Linked DNA regions of Stegostoma tigrinum. The protein of the gene in region 1 binds, or shares a complex with, the protein of each later gene. Links are inferred from orthologs where the notes say so. Each region holds a gene or a part of one and is shown in the gene's direction. Other genes may lie near its edges. The genes, in order: oprl1 and pnocb.

What was found.
Region 2: the proteins of oprl1 (region 1) and pnocb are in contact, whole or in part, in a cryo-EM structure (PDB 8F7X), measured with the Homo sapiens proteins. The link is inferred for Stegostoma tigrinum from reciprocal best matches to the Homo sapiens genes OPRL1 and PNOC. Residues at the interface, in NP_000904.1 of Homo sapiens: Gln107, Asp110, Gly114, Phe115, Trp116, Val126, Ile127, Asp130, Tyr131, Met134, Gln192, Glu194, Ile198, Glu199, Cys200, Leu201, Val202, Ile219, Val279, Gln280, Val283, Gln286, Gln291, Pro292, Ser293, Val298, Leu301, Arg302, Thr305, Tyr309; in NP_006219.1 of Homo sapiens: Phe130, Gly131, Gly132, Phe133, Thr134, Gly135, Ala136, Arg137, Lys138, Ser139, Ala140, Arg141, Lys142, Leu143.

What each region holds. Positions count from the first base shown.
Region 1 is NC_081372.1:27,783,658-27,791,145, forward strand, and holds the start of oprl1 (nociceptin receptor), read left to right. Parts: upstream 1-3,542; 5' UTR 3,543-3,562; coding exon 3,563-3,606; intron 3,607-7,488.
Region 2 is NC_081357.1:98,741,735-98,749,222, reverse strand, and holds the start of pnocb (prepronociceptin b), read left to right. Parts: upstream 1-2,699; 5' UTR 2,700-2,722; intron 2,723-2,780; exon of another isoform or gene 2,781-3,072; intron 3,073-7,488.

The sequences.
Region 1 (7,488 bases):
CTCTGCCCTCATCAGTCCTCTTCATTACTTCTTCAAAAAACTCAATCATATTATTAAGACATGTTTTCCCTCGCACAAAGCTATGTTGGCTATCCCTAATCAGTGCTTGACTTTCCAAATGCATGTAAATCCTATCCCTTAGGATTCCCTCCAACAACTTTCCCACCATCAATGTCAGTCTCATCGATGAATACTTCCCTGGCTTTTCCTCATCACCTTTTTTAAATAGAGGCACCACCTTTGCCAAATTCCAGTCTTCTGGCACTTCACCTGTGGCTATGGATGATACAAATATCCCAGCAAGAGGCCCAACAATCACTTGCCTAGCTTCCCACAGAGTTCTAGGATACACCTGATCAGATCCTGGGGATTTATCCAGCTTTATGCATTTTAAGATGTCCAGCACCTCCTCTTCTATAAATGGACATTTTTCAAGATGTCGCTGTCTATATCCCCAAATTCTCATCTTCCATATTCTTCTCGATAGTAAACACTGATCCAAAATACTTGTTTAATATTTCCCCCATCTCCTATTCCACACATAGGCAGCCTTGCTGATCTTTAAGGGGCTGTATTCTCTGCCCATTACCATTTTGTCCTTTTGTTCCTCTACATTGGGGAAACCAAGCGGAGGCTTGGGGACCGCTTTGCAGAACACCTCCGCTCAGTTCGTAACAAACAACTGCACCTCCCAGTCGCAAACCATTTCCACTCCCCCTCCCATTCTCTTGATGACATGTCCATCATGGGCCTCCTGCACTGCCACAATGATGCCACCCGAAGGTTGCAGGAACAGCAACTTATATTCCGCCTGGGAAACCTGCAGCCATATGGTATCAATGTGGACTTCACCAGTTTCAAAATCTCCCCTTCCCCCACTGCATCCCTAAACCAGCCCAGTTCATCCCCTCCCCCCACTGCACCACACAACCAGCCCAGCTCTTCCCCCCCACCCACTGCATCCCAAAACCAGTCCAACCTGTCTCTGCCTCCCTAACCGGTTCTTCCTCTCACCCATCCCTTCCTCCCACCCCAAGCCGCACCCCCAGCTACCTACTAACCTCATCCCACCTCCTTGACCTGTCCGTCTTCCCTGGACTGACCTATCCCCTCCCTACCTCCCCACCTACACCCTCTCCACCTATCTTCTTTACTCTCCATCTTCGGTCCGCCTCCCCCTCTCTCCCTATTTATTCCAGTTCCCTCCCCCCATCCCCCTCTCTGATGAAGGGTCTAGGCCCGAAACGTCAGCTTTTGTGCTCCTGAGATGCTGCTTGGCCTGCTGTGTTCATCCAGCCCCACATTTTATTATCTTGGAATCTCCAGCATCTGCAGTTCCCATTATCTCTGATACCATTTTGTCCTTACTGTATTTGGAGAATTCCTTCAGATTCTCATTAACCCTATTTGCCAAAACTTGCTCAGTTTCCCTTTTTGCCCTCCTGATTTCCCTCTTCAGTATACTCCTAATGTATTTGTACTCTTTTCGGGATTCATTCGATCTCTGCTGTCTATAGATGACATATGCTTCCTTCTTTTTTTTGACCAAAACCTTCATTTCTCTAGTCATTCAGCATTCTCTACACCTAACAACCTTGACTTTCACCCTAGCAGGAACACACTGTCGTAGGACTCACATTATCTCTTTTTTGAAGGCTTCTCATTTTCCAGCCATCCATTTACCTGCGAACATCTGTTGCCAATCAACTTATGAAAGTTTTTGCTTCATACAATCAAAATTGGCCATCATCCAATTTAGAACTTTAACTTTTAGATCTGGTCTATCCTTTCCTATTACTATTTTTAGATGAATAGAATTGTGGTCACTGGGCCCCAAAGTGCCCCCCCACTGACACCGGTCACTTGCCCTGCCTTATTTCCCAAGAGTAGGTCAAGTTTTGAATCAGAAAATTTTCCTGTACACACTTCACAAATTCCTCTCCATAAAGCCCTGAACACTGTCAGTCCCAGTCCATGTTTGGTAAGTTAAAACCCCTACCATAATCATCCTAATATTCTTACAATCAACTGAGATCTCCTTACAAATTGTTTCTTAATTTCCTGCTGACTACTGGGGGTGTCGGGGTTGTGGGGGTGGGGTGCAAGGATTAGTCTATACTACAACCTCAAAAAGATAGTTATCCCTTTCTTACTTCTCAGTTCCACCCAATAACTTCCCTGAACATCTTTTCAGGACTATCCTCCCCAACTACAGCCATAATGTTATCTTAAATCAAAAATGCCACTGCCTCTCCTCTCTTCCCTCCCCTTACTATCCTTCCTATAGCATCTATAGCCTGGAACATTAAGCCGCTAATCTAGTCCATCCCCAAGGTACGTCTCTGTAATTTCTACAATATCCCAATCCCATGTTCCGAGCTATGCACTGAGGTCATCTACCTTACCTGTTAGGCCTCTTCCAATAAAATAAACGCAGTTTAATTCATCAGTCCTACCTCGTTTTCTACTTTGTTCCTGCCTGCCGTGACTGTTTGACTTGCTCCTTTCCCCAACTGTACCAGTCTCAGATTGATCTGCCATTCACGGGACATCATTTTAAAGGGATTTACAGCGAAATGATAAGACAAGAGAGGAATGGCTTTGGAAATTCACTCATTGCTTTGAGATTACAAATGGAGTAGTGGAAAGGGAGTCCTCAACAGTGCACCCTCTGGAGGAGTGCAGTAGCAATGACAGCAAATTAGGGATTTCTGTCATTAAACGTAGTTGCTGTCAGCTCCAATGGAATAATGAATGACTACAAGTATGAGCAGTTTAACCATCATTGTTTCTGCAAGACATCAAAAAATGAATTTCACAATATCTGGTCATGCTGACATAATTCTACAAAACTTAGCTCGAGTGTAGCTTGGAAATGCCTGAAATGGACAATCATTTAATTCTTTGTAGAATTATGCCAGCACGACTAGATCCCATCCTTATTAAAATATTCACATCTTTTACGGAAGGTCAGCAAAGTATCCTGTTTTGAATTAAGTTAAATATCCTTCCCTAAGAAAACAAAACTATTTAACCGTGATGTTACTTAACCATTGTGGTGATTTTCACTCAACTGACTTCATTCAGCTGCAAAATCACAAAAAGCTGAATTATCTTAAGCTTAGGCTCGATGTTTATATTATACATCAGTTATATTTTGATGTTGCAAATTTAAAACTTCTGACTTAAAATGTAATCAAACTAAGTAATTACATGATTGTGACAGAGTTGAACATTTCCAATGTTTTCAAATTTTACTTCTGATTTCCAACATATGCTTTTTTTTCTCTTACTGCTATTGGTTATGGATTCACCAATTAAGAAAAAACTGCCATGGTGAGACTAACTTTATTCTCCCATTCCCCGGTCAGAAAACCCTTTTAGTACCATGTGGGTATGAACATAAAGTCAAATTATTCTTTTCACTTGTGCACCATGATTCATCCTGTGCTGCTTCAATTCATTCTCAGTGTTGTTTGCATATAGCTGTTTATGAGCTAGTGCTTCTGACACAGTGTTTTCATATACTGACGAATGGATCATTCTGTTCTTTCCAATTTTCATGAAATGTGAAGGCAGAGTCTTGGGAGATTGCTTCAATGAAATGTAAGACAGCAGTATTTTCAACATGTGCTATCCATTGAGTTGGTTCGTGCTGGTATTTAGTAGCCCAATGTTAGAATATGGAAAGATTTTGGCACTGGCAGTAAGCTTGGCAGTTTCTCTCATTTTCATATGGTACATTCACTCTGCAGTGTCGTTACTTCCTTCAACTGGCCTATGATTTCTACGCAATGGTTCTGCAATCAGCAGTTATGTTTGTTGCTGATCTTACTCCTTTGGAAGTAAGTGAGTGATATTGACCAACTACAATTCTGAATATTGAGAATGTCAATGATCTAGATGTATGTTTAAAGAATATATTCATATTTATTCACTGGATTTATTGCAAATGTTCACTTTTTATAAGGCCTGTCTGTTTCTACTTAAAAGATAACTCTTCCCTTTGCAAGTTTTGATATTTGTGTAAATACTTTCTTCCCAATAGTGGGGAAACAGGTATCGTTTGTAACATTGTAAAGAACAAACAGGGTGGAATCTTACCAGGCTCTGAGCAGTATGGGTTACAGTGAGGTGTGTAGTAAAATCAGGCAAGATGTTTTGTGAAGTTGATCTGGATGTCAAGATTATTTCATCATAAGAATACTTAAGAATTTAAAAGTGTGAGATTTATGTTTCTCAAGACACTTACTTCAAATTGATGGATGTTGTGCACATACCATGAAAAATGTTTCAACCTGTCCTTGACAGTGCTTACCCAGGGGGATTTAATTGATTGTGTACTGGAGACTTGGTTTAGCCAGTGATGGAACATTATGTTGTCGGAAAATTGATATTTGCAACAATAAATTCATTGCAGAATATAACCATATTAAGCATGATTTATGTCGTATACATCCATGGCAGTAAATATCAGTAATGGTTCAAACCCATGCTCACAAAGGCAATGTGCTGGATGTATGCCATTTCATTCATTTCATTAAAAACGGAGTAAAGCGTCTGTCACATTGTACTATTAGACAAATGGTGAAATGTATTTTATTCTCAGTAGTCACTTTGTGAACTGATAAATTAGTCCATGCAGTTCTAAGCACAGCAACAAAAAAAAATCAGTTTCAGGGCTTCCACTGGTCTACTTTTAAACTTTATCCTAGGAGCCACGGGAAAATTGCAGAGACCTGTATGTGTTTTGTTTCTATAGGTTCTGGTAGTTTCCATTGTGCCTTTGAGGCAGAATTTCTACGTGCTGTGTTGGTGTAAGAGATTACATCTTTTTTTAAATTTTAGACTATGGTCTGAAAATGAGAGAAAAGGATATTTTTCTTTAAAAAAGGAGAATATACGAAGAGTTGTTTGCAGCATGGAAAAACAAATGAAGCTAACTGATGCATGTGAAATAATGTTATTTCTCAGCGACATTAAGTCCAGACAAATTGGCACAATTTTTTAATAGACTCAGGAAAAGCTCAGCATAACAATAACCCACTGATTGATAAGGCGGCAGTGCAACACGGACCCTGTGAGAGGGATTAACAAAGTGTTTCCGGGAGACCACCAAAAGTTGGCTGCATCAATCATTTTCTCTTATCTTTCTTGCAAAGCTGTTCTTGCCAATTTTCTGCTGAAAGAGCAGAAAAATTACCTTAGAGCTCAGAAAGAAATTGTTCTATAATACTAAGATTATCAGAATGACTCTTGGTCCAACCAAGTGAACTACAGACTGAGCATGTTGTTGCAGATAATGTTGAAAAATCATTTAAAAATGAAAAGGATTGTGAAACCAGCCAACTTGGTTTGTGATTTAGATTGGTGTAACAGAATTGCTTTCTCCTGACTACTACTTCTCCTCTCTACTTTTGCTATTCATATTTTTTTTGTTCCTTTGTGTTTGGAAGTTTTAAAAGGGGTAAAGTTTAAGTTCCACAAATTAGAAACCTTGAACTTTTCCTGTTCTTGTTAAAGTTAAAATTATGATGATAATTGACATTATGCTTATTGTTACTGAAGCAAGCAGGTATGATTCGTTTTTATCCTGGTAGCCGTCAGTTGGAGACAAATTGAAATATTTGATAGTTTCATTTAATCTTTGCATTTATGATAAGTTTGGGAATAGTGGGGGTTAACTTCAAATGTACTAACCCAGTGAATCATGATGGTGGAGATAGAGATCATTCACTGAGTTAATCCTATCCCTTAGGTTCATTTTGCACCGAGTATCAGTATGTCTACAATGGTTAGTAGTCCAAGTAAATTGAAGCATAGTTGGGTTAGCACATACTTGCCAATGGAAAAGATCCTGAATCATGCTAAAACAATTAGCATGAAAGAGGGCAAAAATAATAATGAATGCTTAAATTGCAACCTCAGTATCCCCTCTGCAATCCTTGTGACTCTGTCATTAGAAATGATGTTGCCGGGTAACCCAGTAGCTTTGCTGAGTGCCCTATGCTGTGGCACTCAACAAATGCAGCAGATGGAAAGCCCTGGCTAGCCCAGCCTACTGTTCAAGGGGTGGAGATGGTAATTCATCGTTCGCAAGACTCTGAAATCCACAGGTTGATCAATATGATTGACATGAAGGTCAGTAAAGGAAGGAAAAACACATTTACATTCACATGATAATTTTAATGACTTCAGAATATCTCAAGGTGTTAACAATTTTGCTTTGAAGTGACTTGTTATAACATGAAAACCTGACCACCAGTTTACGCACAGCAAGCTCCTTTGAACAGTAATGAGATAAATGACTGAGATAACAAAGTGTGGAGCTAGATGAACACAGCAGGCCAAGCAGCATCTTAGGAGCAGGAAAGCTGACATTTCGGGCCTCGACCCGATTTCTGATGAAGGGTCTAGGCCCAAAACATCAGCTTTCCTGCTCCTATGATGTTGCTTGGCCTGCTGTGCTCGTTCATCTTTACACCTTGTTATCTTGGATTCTTCAGCATCTGCAGTTCCTATTATCTTAGATAAATGACTGGCTAATGTTTTTTAATGATGTTGGTTGAGAAAAGAAATCACCATTTTCATTAACCTAAAGATTTCTTTCTGGCCTTAACTGTGCTGACACAACAACAGAATGCTAATAAGAGCCATATTTCATGAATTTTAGCAATTAGGCAGAAAATCAAAATATTAATCAGCATGGCACAGTGGCTAACACTGCAGCCTCACAGCGCTAGGGACCTGGGTTCGATTCCAGCCTCGGGTGGCTGTCTGTGCAGAGTTTGTACATTCTCCCTGTGTCTGCGTATGTTTCCTCCGGGTGCTCTGATTTCCTCCCACAGTCCAAAGATGTGCACGCTAGGTGGATTGATCATGCTAAATTGCCCATAGTGTTCAGTGGTGTGTGGGTTATAGGGGGTGGGTCTGTGTGGGATGCTCCAAGGGGAAGTGTGGACTTGTTGGACCAAAGGGCCTGTTTCCACACTGTAAGGAATCTAATCTAATCCACTTCTGCATCTTTGTCAATGGCTTGAGCATATGTTCCTTAATGTAAAGCCAACTGATTGTTGATATTCTCTGTACTAATGCAAAAGTATCACAAAATTTCATAGAATCTGGGGTTTGAATATTTGTTCAGCAGTTAGAAATGCAAATAGAATTTATACTGCATTGTTCACATCAATCAATGTTTTAGGGAGAGAGCTCAGCTGAACACCTGAATATAAAAGTAAGTTGTTGTGCAAGTAATAATAGTGAAAAAAAACACAAGAAGAACTGGTGATTTGGATTGATTATTTACTGTTTAGTCAATAACTAAAATGTAATTTTTTTAATACTTACTGTTATTAAAGGAGAACGGGACGAGCCTAGTGATAAAAAGTAGGGCCCCTCTGATTTGGTGTTTCTGGAATACAACACAACCTACCTGCCAAAAACTGGAGTGTGAATATTTTCACTGGCATTTTTGTCAGGATTAATGTT
Region 2 (7,488 bases), on another chromosome or scaffold:
TGCCTGTCTGGTTTAGTGAGACAGTGACAGGTCAGTGACCCGAGTGCCTGTCTGGGTGAGTAATACAGTGACAGGTTAGTGACACTAATGCCTGTCTGGTTTAGTGAGACAGTGACAGGTTAGTGACCCGAGTGCCTGTCTGGGTCAGTGATGTCGTGACAGATGAGTGACCCCAGTGTCTGCCTGAGTTCATGATACAGTGACAGGCTAGTGGCCTGAGTGCCAGTCTGAGTTAGTGATGCTGTGACACATTAGTGACCCGAGTACCTGTCTGGTTTCGTGATACAGTGACAGGTTAGTAACCGGTCCCTCCATCACTAACGTGTCACAGCATCACTAACTCAGACAGGCACTCGGATCATGAACCTGTCTGGGTTTGTGATGGTGTTCAGGTTAGTGACCCGAGTGCCTGTCTGGGTTAGTGATACAGTGACAGGTTAGTGACCCGAGTGCCTGTCTGTGTCACTGATGGAGTGACAGGTTAGTGACTCGAGTGCCTGTCTGTGTCACTGATGGAGTGACAGGTTAGTGACTCGAGTGCCTGTCTGTGTCACTGATGGAGTGACAGGTTAGTGACCCGAGTGCCTGTCTGTGTCACTGATGGAGTGACAGGTTAGTGACTCGAGTGCCTGTCTGTGTCACTGATGGAGTGACAGGTTAGTGACTCGAGTGCCTGTCTGGGTTAGTGATACAGTGACAGGTTAGTGACCCGAGTGCCTGTCTGTGTCACTGATGGAGTGACAGGTTAGTGACTCGAGTGCCTGTCTGTGTCACTGATGGAGTGACAGGTTAGTGACTCGAGTGCCTGTCTGTGTCACTGATGGAGTGACAGGTTAGTGACTCGAGTGCCTGTCTGTGTCACTGATGGAGTGACAGGTTAGTGACCCGAGTGCCTGTCTGTGTCACTGATGGAGTGACAGGTTAGTGACTCGAGTGCCTGTCTGTGTCACTGATGGAGTGACAGGTTAGTGACTCGAGTGCCTGTCTGTGTCACTGATGGAGTGACAGGTTAGTGACCCGAGTGCCTGTCTGTGTCACTGATGGAGTGACAGGTTAGTGACTCGAGTGCCTGTCTGTGTCACTGATGGAGTGACAGGTTAGTGACTCGAGTGCCTGTCTGTGTCACTGATGGAGTGACAGGTTAGTGACCCGAGTGCCTGTCTGTGTCACTGATGGAGTGACAGGTTAGTGACTCGAGTGCCTGTCTGTGTCACTGATGGAGTGACAGGTTAGTGACCCGAGTGCCTGTCTGTGTCACTGATGGAGTGACAGGTTAGTGACTCGAGTGCCTGTCTGTGTCACTGATGGAGTGACAGGTTAGTGACCCGAGTGCCTGTCTGTGTCACTGATGGAGTGACAGGTTAGTGACTCGAGTGCCTGTCTGTGTCACTGATGGAGTGACAGGTTAGTGACCCGAGTGCCTGTCTGTGTCACTGATGGAGTGACAGGTTAGTGACTCGAGTGCCTGTCTGTGTCACTGATGAAGTGACAGGTTAGTGACCCGAGTGCCTGTCTGTGTCACTGATGGAGTGACAGGTTAGTGACCCGAGTGCCTGTCTGTGTCACTGATGGAGTGACAGGTTAGTGACTCGAGTGCCTGTCTGTGTCACTGATGGAGTGACAGGTTAGTGACTCGAGTGCCTGTCTGTGTCACTGATGGAGTGACAGGTTAGTGACCCGAGTGCCTGTCTGTGTCACTGATGGAGTGACAGGTTAGTGACCCGAGTGCCTGTCTGTGTCACTGATGGAGTGACAGGTTAGTGACCCGAGTGCCTGTCTGTGTCACTGATGGAGTGACAGGTTAGTGACCCGAGTGCCTGTCTGTGTCACTGATGGAGTGACAGGTTAGTGACCCGAGTGCCTGTCTGTGTCACTGATGGAGTGACAGGTTAGTGACCCGAGTGCCTGTCTGTGTCACTGATACAGTGACAGGTTAGTGACCCGAGTGCCTGTCTGTGTCACTGATGGAGTGACAGGTTAGTGACTCGAGTGCCTGTCTGTGTCACTGATGGAGTGACAGGTTAGTGACCCGAGTGCCTGTCTGTGTCACTGATGGAGTGACAGGTTAGTGACCCGAGTGCCTGTCTGTGTCACTGATGGAGTGACAGGTTAGTGACCCGAGTGCCTGTCTGTGTCACTGATGGAGTGACAGGTTAGTGACCCGAGTGCCTGTCTGGGTTAGTGATACAGTGACAGGTTAGTGACCCGAGTGCCTGTCTGTGTCACTGATGAAATGACAGGTTACTGACCCGAGTGCCTGTCTGGGTTAGTGATGGTGTGACTGGTTAGTGACCCGAGTGCCTGGACTGTGTAATGGAGTGACACTTTAGTGACAGAGTGAGTCTCAAGTGATCAGGGAGTGTGCAGTGTTATTGCTAGGATTTAGTAAATGGGTAACTATTGTACGTTTATGTTCGATTGATGTGTTAGCGATCTGAGTAACCTGGTAGCCACCTGATGACATGCTTGTAACTGTTGTAGGTTACTGTTAGTTTTCCTGACTTCGTGACGAAGTCATTGGCCGAGTCAGTAACTCAGTCAGTAATTGTTGGTAATTAACTAAATGACTTTGGGTGGTTGGGTAGTGACAAAGTCACTGTTAGGAATTATTGGTGGTAATCAGTGACTGTGGGCTCGGAGAGGGGTCAGTGACTCTCACAGAATGATTGTGGGGCGAGTTTTACTGACTGTCAGTCAGGGTCATATCGGGGATTAGTGACAGGTAAGTGTCGGGAGACAGTTCCTGTGTGACTCAGGGAGTGAGGATGTGTCAGTCATCTGAGCCAATGTGAGGGGTTCCAGGAAGCTGCTTATACAAATGCATCTCTCTTCCTGGAAGGGGTGTGCTCTCGCTTGCTGACTGCCTGGTTTGTCTGTCCAGTCAGGGTATATCAGAAGAGGGGAGTTAAACACAAGTACAGTGTGAAACTCTGCTTTAGGATTGAGGAGACGAATCTTGCTGTGTGTGTGTGTGTGTGTGTGTGTGTGTGAGAGAGAGAGAGTGAGTGAGAGAGAGAGAGAGAGAGAAGACCTCGCAACAACAGTTACCCTCTCACTGGCGGACATTCTCAGGTAGGAGAGTTACTCAAGTCTCCCTCTCATTCCCGATAAAGACCAGATGTTCGGTTTAAACTTTGTTGCTGTCTCCGAGTGAGAGCCTGGGCTCCCTGCATCTTTCAGTTCCGCGCTGTTTCTGCTCCCACTCTCCCTGCCTCCATCCTTTGAGCCAACTCTCTTCTCTATTGGTTTGTTTTCACCGATATTCTTCCTAATGGAAACTTTTTCTTTTCCTCCTTCCTCTTAGCGGAGAACTCGCCAGGTTTCCATTCCCGCAGAACTCCTATTTCGTTTAATCCCTCTCATTTATCCACTCCTACCCCCTCCCACAATCTATAACCTTTCTGTTTAACACTCACCCTCCGCCCGCGCCCCCGCTTTTCCCCAGGTCCCTGTCCCTCTCTGTTTCCTTCAATCCTTGTAGAGTCGCTGAGAGGGAGGTGATGGAGCCGCATTTCCCAGCTTGACTAACCCTTCACTTCCCTATAGAGTCCGGGAGGGCTAGGGTGAGCTCCCTCAGGGAGGGCAGGGAGTGGTGGGGGAGCTGGGATGAGCCACTGAAACCGGGAGCCTACAGAGTTCCCAAATAAATCGCAGGGAAACAGCAGAATAACGTTTAAAGAGGTAACAAAGAAGGTACAGACAGAAATGGAGAGGCGGGGTCGTGGACCAAAGGGTGTGTAATCTGGCTCTGAGTTCTGTGTGTGTGTGTGTGTGTGTGTGTGTGTTTACCGAGTTGCCTGTATCTGGGTGCGCAGGCAGCCCGGTCCCACGGTCCAGCTCCCTCTCATGTACCCCGTTGTGCATACTGCTCAGTCCTGGACAGCTCTCACCTGAGGGTCAGTGTCCCGTCCCAGGGAACTGCCAAATGTAGATAACAGCAGTGGGCAGAGAGAGGGAGAGGTAGGCAAGAAAGACAGCAGAGGTGTGAAAAATAGACCAGAACGGTGAGGGCTACAGAATCGAAATTGGATAAAGAGACGAGATATGAACAGTAAAAGAGGTGCCGGCGTTGGTGGAAAGGTCACGTTGAAAAAGTACCATTTGTTTTTACCACGAGGCTACACCTTGCTGTTGCACTTTTACATCCCATCAGCTCTCTTCGACAAGGTTTCTACTGGAAACAGCAATTTGAAAGATGTAGTCGGGGTCAAGAATTAAGACCAGACGTTCAGATAAAGTACCAGAGCTTCAGATTTAAAAATATTCTCTCCTCTTCCAATCGTCATTCATTGAATTGTTACTTCAACCGAATAGTATATTTTAAGTTTCTTTATAATGCTACACTAAATACAATGTTGTTGACTTATTAGTTATTTTGTTTGGGCAGGTGTCACAGTTAACAATAGAATGAGTCTGTGGATGTTACTGATGATAATTTTGAATATAGGCTGCATTCCCTGGTTTGTATTCTGTGGAGTTTAGAAGGATGAGATGAAATCTATTCAGTTATTTTAAATGATATATGGAGTACAGTATTTTCTCTGGTTGGGAATCTAGAAGGCACAATATTATAATTTGAGTAAGGCCTTTCCAGAATGAAATTCTGAAGCATTTTGCCACATAGAAAATAATAGAAACTGTAAACATTTTCACCATCTCCCCCATTTGGAGTTGGAGTTTTCACGTCTAAAGCTGGATAAGCTTTTGTTAGCCTGGGGCAATGAGAGATGTGGAGCAAATGCAAGTTAATTTCATCATTTTCTGTTTTCTATTGTGGAGGTCTGGTCGATAACATCAACAGTGCGAGCTGAGTCAACTGGGACTTTTAAGACAAGGCTCAATAGAGTTATATTTGGTAAGGGCAGAAATTGAGACATAGGGATGGAGGCCGTAACCAAATATGTTTTCAAAAATAAATCTAGTGCCACATGAAAATGCTTGGTACACTGAACATGTAGAATTGGTCTGAAGGATAAGATTATTAATCCCACCATGGCAATCATTTAAACAAACTCCCACTAAACTTCAACTAATAACAATTTGAAAGACTATGCACTACTGAAAATGAACTCCTGGTCCGTTGGTCTGGCTTTCCACCAACAGCCTAATTGGAAATGTCCTTCATAACTGCCTTGTACAAAGAGTGAAAACACATTTACGGTTATGATATGGCAGTCAGCTTACAGTGATAACCTCTTAGTAATATTGTGCTGGCAGTGCTTGGGACAGTGACCTTCCTGCAGACTCTCTTTCTTTGTGATATTTTCAACAAAGTAGGAAATTTGGCATCAGTTCTAATGTGATCTCTGAAAGTTGAAATGGTTTGCAGCTAGTTGAATAATAAAATTCATTGGGGAGATAAATGGATTGAGCCCAGCAGTCATTCAATGCATAAAATAACAATCTATGTTGGACAGAGTTTTGAGAACTGGTTCCAAGCCTGGAACTTATCGGTTTAAGTACAAATGTTTTAATGCAACTCAGTTTCTTCTGGATTAATTTCCACATTGTTTACTTTTATATTCTAAATACCAAAAAAGCGCAATAATGATTACAGTACAGTTTTATTAACTAATTCTGTGCCATTTTTTCAGATGAGACATTGAACCAGGGCCCTCATATCTCTGTTCACCGAAATGCAAAAATCCCATGATACTATTGGAAGATCAGCAGAGGAGTTCTTCCTACGAACATTTATCTCTCAACTAACATAATTAAAAATTGATTATATCTCATTGATTTCATTGCTATTGGTGAAATCATGCTGAACACAACATGGATGTTACATTTCCCTGCAATGACAACAGTGATCTGAGAGAACACCCAAGGCAGGTGTCCCCCCTTTCCATGGTTGCTTTGGACCATTTCTGTTTGTCACTTTTCACCATTCTGAATGTGCCTGTTCTAACATTTTTAGGTATAAAGAGAATGATCTCACATTTACCCATAGCCATCAGTAACAGTTTGCCCATGATACTTAATCGATTAACATCACTTTGTAATTTTATATTGTCATCTTCATTACTTACAGTGCACTCTATCTTTGTGTTTTGACAAACATAGATATGTGGCTTTCCATCTCATCATCATGTAGTTAATAGATATTATGAACAGTTGAAGGGTCCAACACATTTCCTTGGAAGACATCACTAATCACATTCTACAAATAGGGCAAATGCCCATTTCTTTACTCCCTCTTCCTCTATCTTCTGTCTCTCGGCAATTTCTTAACTAGGTGAATAAATTGCCTTCAATTCCATAATCTTCAACTTTGGACAAGTCACTTATTATGGAATTGATTAAATATCTTCTTAAAATTCATATAAATAAAATTCATAAATGCTCTTTCCATCCACTACTTTAGGGTCTTCTTTGAAAAATCCAATCAGACCCATCAGCGTGATCCACCTTTTACAAATCCATGCCAAATTTTCCTGTTCAGTCCTTCCATTCTTAATATAAACAGTGGCAAGTTCCAGACAACAGACACTAGGCTTATTGTAATTCCCAGTTTCCCTCTGTAATTCATCTTAAATAGTGTAATAATATTAACACTTCTGAATGTAAAGGAGCCATTCCCAAATCAGGAGAACTTTGAAAGATTGTGGTTCAAGCATCTGCAATGGTTTTCCCTATTTTCTTTAGAACTCTCTAATAGAGACCATCTGGTCCTTTAGTGCCATTATTTTACTCCTTAAAGCATTTTGTTTATGTTAATTTTGTCAGGCATTTTGGCCTCTTCATTTATTGAAAATACTGTCACGAAGTAATTATACAGCACGTCTGCCATTTCCTCACTTTCAATGCAAATAGCACCATTATCAGTTGTCAAAGAGACCACATTGCTCATGTTTTTTTTCCTAGTTTAAATTGAAAAATATTTTTCATGAATTTTAATGTTGTGATCTCAGTAGAGACCACTTTCTTTTAGCTCTTACCTTTTAGAGAGAAGAGCTCTGAACAAAATCACATAGTTAATTATTTTTAACCAAAAGAATCTTGCTACACAAATATAATTTAATAACTACATGCTATCTTAAATAGTACATTACTTCTAAACATTATAAAAATACAATGAACACAATAAAGGTATTAAATGTAAGTAACTGGGATCAACTGAATCTCTTGAAGACTATAAAGAATGTAAGAGCATTCTTAAGGGATATCAGGAAGGGATATATGAAAGCCTTGGCAGATAAATTTAAGGGTAATCCAAAGGTTCCTACAAATACATTAAGAGCAAAAGAGCAACTAGAGAGAAAGTAGGGTTCCTAGAAGATCAATGAGATCGTCTTTGTACTGACCCTCAGGAGGTGGGAGAGTTATTAAATGAATATCTTGTGCCAGTGTTTACTGTGAAGAAGGAAGTGGAGGCTAGAGAACTCAAGGAAATAAATACAGATGTTTTGAAACAGTTTACAGAGGAATTGCCTAGATGACACAATGTTAGATAAATCTTTTGGACCTGATCAAGTGTACCCCAGGACG